Linked DNA regions of Caenorhabditis elegans. The protein of the gene in region 1 interacts with the protein of each later gene in a pairwise test. Each region holds a gene or a part of one and is shown in the gene's direction. Other genes may lie near its edges. The genes, in order: ptp-3, Y37D8A.8 and pak-1.

Region 1 (4,925 bases):
ATATTACTGTATTTTGCCAAACTTAGCCCTGACTAGAAATTCCATTCCGTTCGGGCGTGACGGTGCCGCTGCCCTCCTCTGAAATTGCCCGGACGGTGCTCAAAAGTTATTTTAACCTTAAAACTCGACAGAACTCAGATATTAGCTTGAACTCATCAGTATTTAAGGTACTTATTATTTCCATTTTATTAAAGACCAGTTTTCAAGGTGTCAAGGTTTCCCATTTTTTTCAAGTGTTGCTAAAGTTTGCCCAGATTGAACCTAATTTTACAGTACAAAATGACTTCGATTATCCAATACAATGCAGCTTTCTATGCAGCTTTCTATAAAATAGATTTTGTACTCAATTACGCTTGAGCTTGATCTTGAGAGAATCTAGATTGTGGCAAGATGAATTTGAGTTGAAATTTTCCGAACCTTTTACAGAATCCGGCTGATGTTCAAGAACTAACTCACAAATTGGTTTGTCTAATTTTTCTCAAAAAAAAAATCTCATTTTGATCTCTAAAAACATATTTTGATGTATCAAAACCCCCTTAATCTGTTGACTCATTGTGAACATTACCTGTTCACTGAAAACTAATTAAACTATAATTTAACACCTGCTCTACAGAAAGTTCTCCCCCTTTTCTCAAAATAAACTATCAAAGTTTTCCAACTCCAACCTCTTGGTGTGAATTCATTCATTACATGGGGGTCATCTAGAAGAGTAATAGTAATAGAAGTAAAATTGTTTCATTTTGCTCCCCTTATTCCTCGATTAGTCTTGTCCCGCCATTTGCATGTTTTTGCTCTGCGTCTCTTCTTCTTCTATACACTCTCTATTTTCTTGCAGAGTTGTTCAAAGTTTAAGCTTTGAGAGAAGCGAATGTGGCAGGGGTGATTTTAACGGGACTTGAAACAAAGCGCTTACAAAAATGTCTTAGAATTCACATATTCAAAAAATTTTTTGTTTGCATTTTTAGAACTTCGAATTTGAACTTTGATTTATATGGTGCTAAAATAACTAATATCGTAGTATTACTTTTCTTAATTCAAAAAAAAAAAACCAAAAAAAATTGTGTTAAAATATGACATTTTGGCCATGAACTATGATAAGGAATTAAATTGAAAAAATCCCAATTCAACTAGGCTTCTCCAACTTGCTATATATTGTCTGAATTTTTAAAATCTAAAAATATACATGAAAATGGTTGTGAAAAGGTTATGCAAAATGATAAAAGTCTGAGCTATTTCCGAATAAAGAAAAAATTTTTGTAAACCCCTCTATTTCATAATTGTGTTCCCTTGATTTCTCAATTAGATTTATCATCTCCTTTCTCCAAATCTCTCGCCCCCGCGCCAAGCCCCCAGCTCCTTCCAAATGACCCCCTCACCTGCCCTTGCGCAATGGTCATTAATAAAAGCAACATTTTCCATTTCCCAAATAAATCCCTGGGACCCCTTCTTCTCCACACCACTTTTTTCTTTTCTCTCTCTTCCTCTTGTTCTTCAACCCATTTGCGCGGCTTTCCAGGTCGCTTGGAAAATTTTTGTGGTGGCTTTTTAATCGGCCTTTCATATCTTTTTGTTTCATGCTCTTGTGCTTCCTGAACTTTGATTATGTAGTTGATGTCACTTCTGCTCTTTTCTTTCTGTTCCCTTAACAATTTTCATTTAAAATTTCAGATCCTCACCTCTAAATCCTCATACCCAACAAAGTCTTCTGTGATCAGAAAGCAGCGCGAATAAAAATTAAAAATTAAATAAAATTAATTTAATTCAAGAAAAAACTTTAAAAAATTTTCCAACAAAAATGGGTGTATCTCTCTAATCAGAAAAACATCATGATCCAATTCAGAAACAAGAACAACAGTATGAATCGGATAGCGCGTCACTTACGAAATGTGGCACGCCGAAAAGGCTCGTCGCTGCTTCTGTTTCTAATGCTAAGTACCGTACTGGTCGCGGCAAAAGAGGACGGTAAGTTGGGGGAAGAGGATGAGGATTTCGGGTGGAATGATGAAGAGCCACCTGATAATCAGGATGTGCAGGACGGGGGAATTCCGTTGGTTCGGAAGGAAGAGTTTACAAATAATCAGCTTTATGCTGAAGCTTATCAGAGTTATATTCAAGCTCTTGCGTGTAAGTTATAGTGCAGGTTTGGTTGAAAAATAATGGTTTTTCGAGAAAACAGAAAAACCTTTGGAATTTTTTTTCAGAAAAAAATTGGAAAACATTTTTTATTAAAAAAATGTTTCAAAAAGCTTTACTACCCCTAGACACTTGTAAAATCAGGAAAAAATCAGGAAAATAATTCAGATTCATTTTTTTTGCAACCACATAGGCCCGGATAAAGCTGTAATACTCCCTAAGATTCCAGCTCAGTTTCAAATTTAAGCGCAGTTTTATGCGGAGGATTCAATTCTAAGTTGTATTGTTGGCAAGAATTCAAGTGAACTATATTTACAGTTTCTATTTTTATAATCTTCAGACCCCGCCCGACTAGTCGTCCGTCCAGACTCATCAACCGTCGTCGATGAATCGAAAATCTCATTTTTCTGTCGAGCAGATGGAAATCCGTTGCCTAGTGTGATTTGGAGAGTCAATGGAAAATCCATAACAGATCATAATCGGTATTAAGGCTTCATTGAAATATATAACTGTTACAAATTTTCCAGAATATCAATAAAATCCTTGGCCACCGGCTTATCGACTCTCCGTTTCGAACGTGTCTCTCTGGATGACAATGCGACTGTTGTGTCCTGCTCGGCTGATAATGGAGTTGCCAATCCAGTTGTCGCAGAAGCATCACTAACCGTTGTCCCACGAGACAAAGTTCCGATTGGGTTCCCTCAAATTGAACTTCATCCATCATTGAAGTCGGTCGAACAGGGGAAAACTGCTTATGTCTCTTGTCGGGTAAGTTTTTTGAAATTTTAAAATAGTTGCGTTTAAGATGGGAAATTCGTTGTATGTATTATGAAAAGATTTTAAAATTTTATCAACAAATAATAATGCTAAAAACTTTTAAAAATATGATATTTCGGAAATAAAAATGAACTTGAAGAAATTAACAATTGAAAGAAGAACAATTCAATATGGAGTTAAAATGGGATTAAAATAGCAAAAATAGCACAAATACCAAAAGTTACCAACACCAAAATATCATAGCACATCTGGAATTACCCTATATACCTGAAACCAAATACTAAAAACTATGTCGGCTGTTTTCAAATTAAAAAAAACAAATAAAAAAATATTTTTTTAAAAAACTTTAAAAATGTTAACGATTCCAAAATCAAATTCAAAAAAATTCTTTCAGGTCCGAGGAGATCCTCGAGCAAAAGTCCTTTGGCTCCGTGACCTGATCCCGCTAGACATTCGTGCAGATGGTAGATACTCTGTAAGTACAATCGGAAACCCTGGAGCCCTGATGATTCAGCATGCTCGAGAAGAAGATCAGGGAAAATACGAATGCATTGCAAGGAATACATTAGGAGTTGCTCACTCGAAAGCCGCAAATCTTTATGTTAAAGGTTAGTTTGGGATGGGGATTTTTTGAGGGAGGGATGTTTTAAAAATTTTTTATATAATTTTAAACCAGAAATTACGGTGCCAAAAAATGTCTGAAAATATATGCTCACACACAATCAAAATTTTTTCAGTTAATGCATTTTAAAAGTTTAAGTTGTTTTAGAAATACATAATGATCCAAATTCAATTGTTGAAAAACTGGAATGCCTAACTTGTTCAGTTATTCATTGAAATTTCGCACTTCGAGAGGGGTCAACTCATCCTAACTAAATTTAAAATAGGCGCCCCAGCCAAAAACTGTTCAAATTTGCATTAAAATAGGTTGTCCATTCCTCCTCCTCTTCTTGTTGCGATCACATTTGCATTTGTTTGAGCATGTGGCTTGATATCTGCGCCTCTTGGTCACTTTTATTCGGTCACTTGTTCTCTTCGTGATTTTCATTTTTATGACATAGAGTGGGAAGGGCGAAACAGAGAGAAATTGATGAGAATAGGTGTGATTCACTGATTTATGTTTGATTCGGTGAGCGAATTTTATTCTAGATTTTAGGCCTGCTAGTTGAAGTATTTTTAATATAACTTTTCATAGTTTCTATTTTTCCCTGATGAGCATTTATATCGGTGGTGCTCATTTGAGCGGAATGCTTTTGTTTCAGCATGACCTTATTTTTTTAAAGCTTTGAGCTTTAGAATAGGTGATTTTTTCTAAAACATTGCTTCTGATCTATTTTTGGAAATATAACCGTTTTCTGACTCAATAATACATAGTGAGGTAGATTTTCAAATCGAGTTAAATTTTTAAAGTTCCAGAGACTTTTTTTTGTAAGATACAGCTCTAAAATTTCAAATTCCAGCCATTTCAACCAAATTTTTAAATTCGAAAAATTATTCTATACATTTTGAAACACTTTTGTTTGAGTCTACAACACTGCCAACACTCTGAAATAGTTTGAGCTTCTAAGCATTTTTAGTCAAAATTTTGGAAAAGTGCCAACCTTTCAAAACAAAAGTGTAAATTTTGGAAAATTTTGCGTTGAAATTTTTCTTTGACAGATTGCTACACCTTTAAATAAAAAAATCTCTTCATAGTTTTTTACCCTCCAAGCTCCTCTCTAGATCTGGCAATCATAAAATAAATTCCAAATGTCAATAAAATCGTCCAAAAACCGCCATCCGGATATCTATCGAGCATTTAGCTTCCATCTTTCTGTGCTCAAACTGTGAGCCATCACTAGTAATTGGAGGTCATCTGGAAGATGTCGGTCGTCATCTAGGCGCCTTCCCGACATGTGTGCTTTATGTGTGCAGGCATACGACGACACCCGATGACCAGCAATTTCTCATTTTTATGACACCCGGCCACAAATTTCGATGATTCTTCTTCCCCGGTGTTGTCGTCTTTTGTGTTG
Region 2 (4,922 bases), on another chromosome or scaffold:
TCAAATAATTCAAATAAGAAAAAAGTATGAAATTTTGGTTTCAAATTTTGAAATATTTCAACATAAAATTGGAAAAAGTAGACATAATATTTATGTGAATGTTAACATCACAAAAGGTGATGGAGGGAAGGAAGCAGAGGAACAAAAAACAGAGTGATGCAAAAAAGCAAATAAAAAGGGGAAGAAATAGGGTGACGTCATTGTTCAGTGCAATTTTATAAAAATAAAAATATATGTTTACTGTAGAGGTACTGTAGGGGTTCTGGAAGTGGTGGTACTGTAGGAGTACTGTAGAGGGGTCGAGGACTGTACTGTAGATCCCTCCAAAAAAATTAGCGATGTTTCCAAAATGCTCAGTGAGCACAGTCGACCTGGAATCGAGCGTGCTAGACGCCAACAGCCGACTTTTCCCATCAGCCGCATAGCCCTGCCAGGTTGGTAGACGTGCGGTTCGTGAGTAGGCGTGAAGTAGGCCGTCCAGTAGGCAAACCGAACTGGCACAAAAGACGTATATTAGAGTGGCAGTTGTGTTGAAAGTTTTTTTTTTTTAATTTTTTTGCTCAGAATTAACTTGAACTCAGAAAACAACTCAAATTCCAACAAAACTTAAAATTTTTTTTTGACAGTCAAAGGCAATTACTGAAGTGAGTTTTTTTTTCGAATCCCTACAATGTTTGAATTTTAATATAATAAATCCAAAAAAAAGTGGCAAAAACTCAGTAATTGTCTTTTTTTTGTACTTTTTGCAAAAAATCCTTATTTCAGAAGTTGAAGCAAACTCAGAATATTTGAAATTAATTTTTCTTCATTTTACAAGAAGAAAATATGTTTTTTGGTTAAAATTTTGTGTGCAGTAGAGATCTATAGAGAGATGGAATAAACTGACACCAGATGCTCACTTCTGTGCACACTCTGGAAGTATTTAGAGTAATTTAGAAGCTTGCAAAATGTCCATATTTAACTTTCCGAAGAAAATGTTTGGTAGCCCCTTTGCATGTGCTCGCTGGCTGTCTCTTTCACGGTGGCACAGCAGCTAGATGGGTGCCAACGCGCTCTACCTAACAAACACAAATTTGACCGGTTAGGAAATTTTCAATCAAAAAATTACTTAATAGAAAAGATAGAGAATTTTTTTGCGGTCATTTTCCATATGCATCGCAAAATCAAATTTGGGGTTAGTTTTCGAGATAGCAGCCAATATAGGTTTTCAGACTGAGTATCATGAACCAAGCCATCTAGTTTCTGTGCTACCGGGCTTTGTATAATTTCGATGAAAACGCGCCCCATTGAGAATATTGTCGGTGAAATTCACTCGGACAAGCGAAGACAAGGAATGAGGCCGTCTCGTTGTCTGCGTCTCATCTTTTACACGCTATTTTCTTCTCCGAGAGGACTACGCGAACGGGGGGGACTAGGAATCCTCCTATTCCACCGTTTTGAAGGCCATTTTGCTCATTTTTTCACGTTTTCTCGTCCGCGAGATCTTCCACATTTTTCTAACTTTCCAGAGATTTCCAAATCTTTCCAGTTGAATATCAAGCTTTCTAGAAAACTACCCAGCCATCTGAAGTTTTTTCCAACTTTCCAGAAAAGATTGCCAACATTTTACAATTTTATATTTGAAAGAATTATTTTTTTTTACAAAAAAAAAACAAAAATAAACGTGACACCATTTACCTCCATGTGGAATTTTGTTCTACGTCTTGTAGGTTTCCGGTATAAAAGGCTCTGTCAAACGGTTTTTCTCTCATTCTTCTATTTTTCTCCATAATGGATCCACAACATGGATCTCCGCCACCATCGTACGCACAAGCTGTCGCAGACACTGACGACGTCATTCCGGAATCGAAGAAAACTGCATCTCCCGGGGACTTGGTTGTTTCGGTAAATTGCTATTCTTCAGAATATGTGTCTGGGTTTTAGGCAAGCATACCTACTACGTGCCTACTATGCCTACTATGAGGTACAGTGCTGGCCAAAAAGATATCCACTTTTGGTTTTTTGTGTGTAACTTTTTTCTAAGTGGTTATTTTGTTTTGAAACTTCACCACAGTGTTCACAAAATCTAAAAACACAATATTCATCAAAAATGTTCAACAGATTTTGAAAAAACTTCAGAAAAATTCAAAAAAATCGAAAAACTAGAAATATTGAAAAAACCGAGGTTGCAAGGAAATGACAATTAAAGTACCGGAATATGAGCAATTGGATTTAAAAACAACATAATTATGCTTAATACTTTGTCGCGTATCCGTTTGCATCAATAACAGCTTGACAACGACGTGGCATCGAGTCGATCAGCTTGTGAATAACTGACATGGGGATAGCTTTCCAAGCGTTTTCCAACTGGTTGAATTTGGCATCTGCATTTGAAGCCCGAATACCTCCAAGACGTCTTTCCAACTCTTCCCACAAATGCTCTATTGGATTCAAGTCCGGAGACTGACTTGGCCAATCGAGCAAATGCACACGACGACGTTGAAACCAGGAACGCACATGAAGAGAAGTATGCTTAGGATCGTTATCCTGCTGAAACACGAAGCCACGGCCCACATTTTGAAGTGCCCAGGGTCGCATTGTAGTTTCCAAGATGTTTTCGTATTGAAAACGATCCATAATGCTTTGGATTCTCCTTAGTGGGCCCATGGAAGTGCTGGTGAAGCACCCCCACACCATGACGCTCCCACCTCCATGCTTAACGGTTGGGCATTGATACTTTGGAGAGTACCTAGAGCCAACAGGACGACGTACCCAGGAATTTCCATCACTCCCGAACAAATTGAACTTGCTTTCGTCAGACCAGATGTGTTTAGCCCATTCCTGACGTCCCCAACGAAGATGCGCTTTTGCCCACGCAACTCGAGCCATGCGATTTTTCTTACTGATGAACGGTTTCTTGACTGGCTTTCGTCCGTGTAGTCCTGCTTGCTGTAAACGTCGACGAACAGTTCGTTTACTTGGTACAGGTTCATTTGGAGAACTTATAATCATTTGAATATCCGTGGCGGTCCTATGCGGATCTTCTCTTGCTGATCGGAGGATGTTGCGATCCATCCTATGGGTTGTCACTCGAGGCCTGCCGGGCGAGATTCTCAAAGCGACGGATTTCTAAACATTTATTATTAAAAAATAATATTTTTCGAACTCACCTCAGTTTGGTACTTCTTGATTACTTTCCAAATAGTCGACGGAGAACGTTGAATTTGCAGCGCGAGCATTTTCGTGGGTATTCCTTGTTCGAAGCCAGCTACAATGGCTTTCTTGACGTCCAAGGAAAGATTTTTACACCCAACAGATTTTACCATACCTTAAAAATAATTTATCAACCAAACAAATCCAGTGCAACAAAAAGAGTGCGTTTTATTGATAATTCAAAAAAAATAATGAAAATTGGAAAAACGAAAAAATCAAAAAATTGAAATAAAATTCAGAAAAAATCGATAATCATGTAATGTTTGGTCCGCAAATTTGCGTAACATTTCGCTTTATGCACACGGAAAAATTCAAGTCAAATGGATGCTTGAGAAAAAAGTTACACACAAAAAACCAAAAGTGGATATCTTTTTGGCCAGCACTGTATAAGGCTTAGGTCGTCTTCCGGGCAGGCACAAAGGTTGCCAATTTTTGTGTGTTTACAAAAATCACTCAGAAAATCGCATTTTTTTTACGGCTATAGAATTGCAATGTCAGGCTGCCCCATTGCGGCTTGATCTACAAAAAATGCGGGAATATACTCTAAATTCCCGCAATTCTCGGAGATCAAACCTTATACTTGAGTTTTCAGAGAAAAGAAGCTGGACAAGTCGTCGTGGCAACACCGGTAAAAAGATAATAAACCAATTCAAAACATGGATAATTAATTTCAGTACATGTATTACGAGAAAGTTGCTCCATCATTCAAACCCTACCAGGAATATTGTCCAAGATGCAGAGTGAGTGCTCTACTTCACAAGCTTATATCTCGGTTGTCTTTAGTTTTATTTAAACAATTTTAACTAACAAAATATGCAGAAAATATTTCTCTATATTTTCTCAGTGAAAAATTTTTTGATAAAACCCAAGCCAACCGAGATATAAGCCCTCAAAGTAGACACATTTTCAAACAACAATTTTTTCAGTGTACCGTTGTGACAGTTGTCGAATACGAAATGGGATGTTTCGCTTGGCTTATTATCATATTGATTATCTTCGTCGCCTTTTTCCTCATCTACATCCTTTGTTGCATTGATATCCGTGACGCAATTCATCATTGTCCGAACTGTGGAATGGTCCTGTCGCGTAAAAAGAGAGGATAATTTTTGAGAATCTCAACAAGTGAAAGCCCAATTCGTGTACTCGTTTAAATTGCACTCAATCACTTATAACGTTCGGAATAAATATTTTGTCGGGGTTTCTTGGCGGGGTAAACCACCTCGTCCCAGACTTGTTGTTTTACTGTGCGTCGCGTGTCGCGTCGCGGTTCTGTTCTCGGGAATACTAGTTCGGTGCACCATGACCTCATCAGTCGTGTCGAGATTTTTTAAATAATTGGAAATTTTAAAATTTCTATTTTTCTTCATTTTAGACATCAAATTTTCCTGAGTTTGTTAAGCACGCCGAATTTGCCGACCTCGGCAAATTTTGAATTTTGGCCACTTTTAACATCATCCAGCAGTACATGCTGGTGGCCTGCAATGCTATCGTGTTTCGTTCAGACCCAAAAATCGGGGATCAGGGCCACCCTCTTACTCTTAGAAACTTTAGGCCACTTCTTTCCCTACTACCAGCAGAGCAGGCCTTCAATGAGACTACGTATGCTTTTGGAAAGACCAGTCTATCCAGATTGAGGACCGCAGGCCCGAATACACTTAGAAAAAACCAAGGAATGATATTATCTTCGAATGACTATGGCTCAGTCAATTTTGGTTCAAAACAATCCGAAT
Region 3 (6,829 bases), on another chromosome or scaffold:
CAAAAATTCAGGGAAACACCCACTAATAGTTTTGCTGCTCACTGAGATTTCAGGAAGCTCCAAATGATAAGTGTCGAGAGGTCGAGATGTTAGGTGGTTGTCCAAGTTGTTCTATCTCTCTTACTCACATCTCTTACTCCCTCTTCACCCCTTCCTGTCGTGTATATGTGTGTGTGCGTATGTCTGGTTGTGTGTGTTCTTCTTCATTTGACCGCTATCGATTGATTTTATCTCCAACGACATCCTCCCCTCATCCGTCCGTTTTGCCCCTCCGCAGCTCTTTATCAATTGCCTTGGCCGCATCATCCGCGACCCACCGTACTAGTTATCTTTCTCTGTTTCCTCCATTCAATTGATAACACTAGAAAATGGCGCGCGTTCAACAAACACAGTGCCATTCTCCATTTCTAGCAAACAGTCCAGGTTTCGAACTGTTTTTTTTCTACATTGTGCAAAATGAGATTGGATTTCTTATCGACAGTGTAATAAAATCTTAGATACCTAGATTTTGTTTCTCATTTTTCTTTTTTTTTTTTCTTTCGGTTTTGTGATTTTCCTTTGGGTTTTTGCAGGTCTAGATTGTAAATATTCCCAAATTAACAGATTATGTAATGAGGATTCTCAAAAAATGTTCAACAATTTTTTATGGCGGTCTGAAATTTTAAAAACACCTAATTTTAATTAAAATTGGCTATTTTTTCATGTCTCAGCTGTTGGAAAATTTATTTTGAAGATTAGAATGTTTTTATTGCATATTGGTGATTTTCTTACATTATTTTGTTAATGAATGTACATTTAAAGCCCATACGTAATTGAAAATGGCCACAATCAACCCCCTATGATTTTTATGAGGTCTCATTATTAAATTTGTTCCTTTATGAACATTTTGAGTGCTTACAAGTAAAAACCCAAAACCGATACCCCTCCTTTAATCGAGAATAGTATTAGACCAAAAGTATCATCATTCACCGTTAGTATGAATGCAAACTTTTCAGCTTTTTTTCGGCTTTCACTTTCTAATTTCCTAAACTAGTTCTCAACATTGTCACTCACTCCGAACCTCGTTTCACAGTTTCTACTCTTTTCGGCTTCACACTTCTAGAACATTATCCGGCTGATTGCCACTTGGATGACAAGCGGGAAACAAGTACGCGAACACACGGTGGTGGGCGATAAAATGAAGTGAAACATGAATGACTCATATCATCACACTTTAAAAAAGATTCCCGTCTCTTCTTTTTCTCCTTTGAAAAATATTCCTTCTTCTTCCTCTGGCCCAGTTTATTCACCATCCATCATCTCCTAAACTTTGAAATCTTTCGTTTTGAAAACCAAAAAGCCATCTATCTTTTTCGGGTCAAACTCACGTCAGACGTTGGTTGCAGATAGGCTCTTTGAAGCAATAATGCAAATGAGAACTCCGAAGAAAAGGTCAAATTCTGGGTCCCACATTTTCCATAACTCCTACCCTGAGATTACTAAAAAAATATAGAAAAGCAATCCAATAGACGACCTCGAAAGGCGAAAGGGCCATGCTTTTTCGGTCCAAGATTACTCATAGCACTGGGTCAATGTCCTCTTTACACCATGTGTTGTGCATCCATTTCCCTGCCCGCTCCTATCAATTTCCTCTTTTGTTAGTCATAGTCCAACAATTTTTTTATAAGGGGGCGGTCAGCAATTTGTTCTTTCTTTTTCTGATTCTTTATTGTGATCGTTTTTCTATGTTTTTTTGACTCAACAAAACATGAATATTGGTTCCAATTTTCCTATTTTTCCAACAGTTTCGATTTCACTTGACAACGAAAATTCCTCCTAATTATTGTTTTCCTTTTTCAGTTTTACATTGCATACTGTATTCCTTCATTCTTTTTTGGTTTGATGCTTGTGTCTTCTTTTTCCAACAGTTTCAATTTTCCAGGCTTGCCAAAATGAAAGCTTTCTCATCGTATGATGAGAAACCACCAGCACCACCAATTCGTTTCAGCAGCTCGGCAACGAGGGAGAATCAGGTAATTAACTCGTCCCTCCACTCCTCCCCAAAGATGGGCGACAATCTTTCGAAGGTTCTTCTTCCAAATCAGATGATGCATGTGTTGCTTGCCCCTCTCCCACCCATCTCTATTTCTCTTTTTTCCATTCTCCATGTCTTGACTAACTCAATTTTTCAGGTCGTCGGATTGAAGCCATTGCCCAAAGAGCCAGAAGCAACCAAGAAAAAGAAGACGATGCCTAACCCGTTCATGAAAAGTAATATATTGCTCTTGTAACCATTCCTGATTTTCCTGTTTTTTTCAGAGAACAAAGACAAAAAGGAAGCGTCAGAAAAACCAGTGATCTCTCGACCGAGCAATTTCGAACACACAATTCATGTCGGATATGACCCAAAAACCGGCGAATTTACGGTCAGTATTTTTTCAAAAAGTTTTTGTAGCAGTTTTCCCACTCTTGCGTTACTTGCAAGATTATTTTCCAATGATGAACGAGTGATACAGCTGTCATTCTGACACCGGTCGCAACCGCTAATCGTACCAGATTAACGTGAATGCTAATAGTAAGCTAAAAACTAAAAACTACTACTTTTACTTTTTCCCTCAGTCAAAAAATCATTATAAACAAATCTCAATTTATAATAATATTTTGCAACCGTTAATTCAGTGCATTATCTTCTAAAAACGTGTTATTCTTGAAACCATGGTTAGTGTTAATAAAGCTTGCGTTTTTGAGACGTTTTAAGAAAACAAATCCATACGAGAAAAATTTAAGTGAAGCCAATTATCACGAACATGTATTCAACCAAAGATAGTTTCTTCTAAAGACCTATGAAATTGTCCCAATTTTTTTAGTATGAAGAGGTCTGTTTTGTCGAATAGACTTGAGAAACTACTGTAGAATCTTATTTATAAACTTTTCTCAGAAACTTTTGCTCCTTATCAACAATATAAATTTTCAGGGAATGCCTGAAGCATGGGCACGTCTTCTCACAGACTCACAGATCTCAAAACAAGAGCAGCAACAGAATCCTCAGGCAGTGTTGGACGCGCTCAAATACTACACACAAGGCGAAAGCAGCGGCCAGAAGTGGTTGCAGTACGATATGAGTAAGTAACCCGTAGTCAGTCTTGCTAATGGAGCTCATTCTTCTACAGTGTTTATAGATGACGCACCTTCTCGGACGCCATCATACGGACTGAAACCGCAACCATATAGCACATCATCCCTGCCGTATCATGGCAATAAAATTCAGGATCCAAGAAAGATGAATCCAATGACAACCAGTACAAGTAGTGCGGGGTATAACAGCAAGCAAGGAGTTCCTCCGACGACGTTTAGTGTAAATGAGAATAGATCGAGTATGCCACCGGTAAGTGGGAAGAATAATCTTGAAGTTCATATTGATTGCTTCAGAGTTATGCACCGCCACCGGTCCCCCATGGTGAAACTCCTGCTGATATTGTTCCTCCCGCTATCCCTGATAGGCCGGCAAGGACGTTGAGTATTGTGAGTAGAATTTTTGGTACTTGTGTATTACATGCCCTTAGTTTTAGAGTATTTTTTTAAGTTAAAAACAATAAAAACGTGTACCACATTTTTTATTTCTAGGTTTAGGAAATAATCTTTCTAAGCCTGGAGAGGAAAAATGTATATCACGTTTAAATTATATGGAGAAATGAATGAAAATTTAATTCAATTTCAAAATGAGGGCATGTAATACACAAGTACCGAATTTTTCCCAAGTTCTCTATAACATATAAGTATATTTTCAGTACACAAAACCGAAAGAGGAGGAAGAAAAAATTCCAGACCTTTCAAAAGGACAATTTGGTGTACAGGCCAGAGGTCAAAAAGCTAAGAAAAAGATGACTGACGCTGAAGTGCTGACTAAGCTCCGTACCATTGTGTCTATCGGAAATCCAGATCGAAAATATAGAAAAGTTGATAAAATCGGCTCAGGTGCATCTGGTTCTGTGTACACCGCTATTGAAATTAGTACCGAAGCGGAGGTGGCTATCAAGCAGATGAACCTGAAGGATCAACCAAAGAAGGAATTGATCATTAATGAGATTTTGGTGATGCGTGAGAATAAGCATGCAAATATTGTAAATTATTTGGATTCGTATTTGGTGTGCGATGAATTATGGGTAGTGATGGAGTATCTTGCCGGTGGATCATTGACTGATGTTGTCACGGAGTGCCAGATGGAGGATGGAATTATTGCAGCTGTTTGCAGAGAAGTTCTTCAAGCGCTTGAATTCCTCCACAGCCGCCACGTCATTCACAGAGATATTAAATCTGACAATATTCTTTTGGGAATGGATGGTTCGGTGAAATTGAGTAAGATTATAATTTTTAATGCTTTTGCAACCTACTTCTGTGAATTTCAGCCGACTTTGGATTCTGTGCTCAGCTCTCGCCGGAGCAAAGAAAACGCACGACAATGGTCGGAACTCCATACTGGGTGAGTGATGGAAATTGAAAAAGCGAATAGGAAATTAATGTTTGACAATTGCAGATGGCGCCGGAAGTGGTGACCCGCAAACAATACGGACCCAAGGTTGATGTGTGGTCCTTGGGAATCATGGCGATTGAGATGGTCGAAGGAGAACCGCCATATTTGAATGAAAATCCACTCAGGGTATGAAATATTTGCTTTTTTGAATTTAAGAAGACAACGCTTGATAATTGAAAAAAAAAACATGAATCTGAATATATGATTCCTTTCAATAACACTTGTGCTCGCAGAGTGTGAATGAGAAATGGAAATTTGTTGTTACAGCGATAAATTTGTTGCTTAATGAATTTCAAAAAAATCTAATTGGCCACTATTCCCTAGTAAGAATAGCAACCCCAGTTTTGCCCATAACGATCAGAAAATAATTTGGTTCAGGTTGAGGTCATGTTATTGAACAGGCGCCTAAGAAAAAATTTAGCAGAAACTTTACATTTTTCCGTAACTTCTCAGCTAACTTTAGCAACCAATCTCAAAAGTTGCAATAGTTGGGTAAAGTTGGTAAAAGTTAGGGATGACCCCCACCGCAAGATACAGATGTGCATTGAGAACTACCGAAAGCTGGGTAAACTTTGTTGAAAAATCGCTTAAGTTGAGAAGATTGAGACGTTGTTGAGAAGTTGCTGTAAAATGACGAGAAAGTTAAAGTTAAAGTTGTTTCAGCTATACTTAGGTTTTATAATTTTAGCTTAAAATTTCTCATCAATCAATATTGATCTTAAAAATATTTTTTTTCAGGCTATCTATCTCATTGCTACAAATGGCAAACCCGACTTCCCTGGAAGAGATTCCATGACTTTGTTGTTCAAGGTAAGAGAACTCGAGAACTTTCGAAACAGAAGATTTGATAAAAAAAATATTTGTTAACAGTTAGTCACAAATGTACAAAAGATGACTCAACTGCTACCGCAGTTTTACTTTACTTTCAGTACAGTATCAATTTCTCCCATTCTGTCCCAATTTCCAGGACTTTGTCGACTCTGCGTTGGAAGTACAAGTTGAAAATCGATGGTCGGCAAGCCAACTCCTTACGCATCCATTCCTCCGATGCGCCAAACCGCTTGCTTCACTGTACTACTTAATCGTTGCGGCGAAGAAGAGCATCGCCGAAGCTAGCAACTCATAATTATGATGATTGTATTCTCAATACACGACGTGTATTTCTTGTTCTTCTCAAATCTCAAGTCGTACTTACTTTGAAACTGTTTTCTTTTCTCTCCATCTCAAGTCATTTCTAACTATCTACTTTGAGCCCAACTTACCGTTTCCCAACAAAAAAGTCACACCTTAGTAATTTGTGTAATGTTTTCTGGAATCGATCACGAGTAAAAATTCAAGCCCCTTCATTATTTCACATCTTCCCCCTCTTTATCTCTTCTCGCAATGCACAATTTGGACTATCTCTTTTTTCTTGTTGTTGAGCGTTCCCAATCAGACGACACACTTCAATTATTTATGTAAGTTTTTTGTCTTCACTTTGTCTTCTTTTCATTCGGTTTCTTGCATTTGTGTCGTTCGAACGGAAATCTACAGTTAACCAGCTTTGCCCAAATTTCCCTATTTCTTTTTCAAGTGTCTGTAGGTGGGAACTATTGAAACTCTGTTTTCATGTGGTTTCCAATTTAAAAATCGGCCATAAGGTCAAAATCTTAAATTTTGTCTCATGACGTTTGAAACAATTGATCATGTTTAATAAAAGAGAGATGAATTTACTTATAGAATCAGAAAAGTTTTCAAAATAGTCAAATTTTGTTCAAGGAAATTGTACTATTTTCTTTTGAAAAATTATTTATTATTATTCCTGACCAGGTACATGGTATAAGGTAGTTTACCTCAAAAATTAGAAATGATAAATAGTTCATTTGAATGATTATGTTTAGACTATATATTTTATTCTAGAAATAGTTATTCTAGTAATTGCAGCAGCACAACTCAACTCCCACCACCACAATTTAGGTATATCTGAACTTTGTTGAGAGCAACTGTGCTAAAGGACACAAAAGTTACTCCAGAGGCTGATAATGTTGTCAGGCTGATTATTGATAATTTTAAAGGTTTTCAAGAACACGCACAACATATTTTAGCAAAACTTAAAAAATCAAGTCACATAACAAGTTGAATATGTGAATAATCCCTGTGAGTATTCTGGAACTATATTTTTCACCATAATAGTGATTGAAAGTTTCAGGAGCTTACAAATGTTTCATAGTGCTATAATGCCACTTTTTTCATATTTCTTATTGAAAACTAAAATCAAAACTAAAAAAATATGTTTCTGGTTAGAGAAAAATCTTTCGAAAATTAATATTGACAACGATT

The links.
Region 2: the proteins of ptp-3 (region 1) and Y37D8A.8 interact in a two-hybrid assay, tested with the Caenorhabditis elegans proteins (one large-scale study listed by BioGRID).
Region 3: the proteins of ptp-3 (region 1) and pak-1 interact in a two-hybrid assay, tested with the Caenorhabditis elegans proteins (one large-scale study listed by BioGRID).

The regions. Positions count from the first base shown.
Region 1 is NC_003280.10:10,973,713-10,978,637, forward strand, and holds the start of ptp-3 (protein-tyrosine-phosphatase), read left to right. Parts: upstream 1-1,856; coding exon 1,857-2,124; intron 2,125-2,473; coding exon 2,474-2,615; intron 2,616-2,660; coding exon 2,661-2,901; intron 2,902-3,304; coding exon 3,305-3,518; intron 3,519-3,665; exon of another isoform or gene 3,666-3,815; intron 3,816-4,745; exon of another isoform or gene 4,746-4,925. UniProt on the Caenorhabditis elegans protein: Has a role in early neural and epidermal development; neuroblast movements during closure of the gastrulation cleft and epidermal morphogenesis. Vab-1 and ptp-3 may function redundantly within the same sets of neuronal precursors.
Region 2 is NC_003281.10:12,863,200-12,868,121, forward strand, and holds Y37D8A.8 (LITAF domain-containing protein), read left to right. Parts: upstream 1-1,748; 5' UTR 1,749-1,770; coding exon 1,771-1,884; intron 1,885-3,784; coding exon 3,785-3,820; intron 3,821-3,866; coding exon 3,867-3,932; intron 3,933-4,118; coding exon 4,119-4,295; 3' UTR 4,296-4,420; downstream 4,421-4,922.
Region 3 is NC_003284.9:6,043,701-6,050,529, reverse strand, and holds pak-1 (Serine/threonine-protein kinase pak-1), read left to right. Parts: upstream 1-1,925; 5' UTR 1,926-1,931; coding exon 1,932-2,012; intron 2,013-2,171; coding exon 2,172-2,250; intron 2,251-2,298; coding exon 2,299-2,405; intron 2,406-2,953; coding exon 2,954-3,101; intron 3,102-3,149; coding exon 3,150-3,364; intron 3,365-3,408; coding exon 3,409-3,501; exon of another isoform or gene 3,502-3,650; intron 3,651-3,767; coding exon 3,768-4,335; intron 4,336-4,385; coding exon 4,386-4,459; intron 4,460-4,513; coding exon 4,514-4,636; intron 4,637-5,248; coding exon 5,249-5,320; intron 5,321-5,477; coding exon 5,478-5,636; 3' UTR 5,637-6,221; downstream 6,222-6,829. UniProt on the Caenorhabditis elegans protein: Required for hypodermal cell fusion, together with cdc-42 and ced-10, leading to embryonic body elongation, which involves dramatic cytoskeletal reorganization.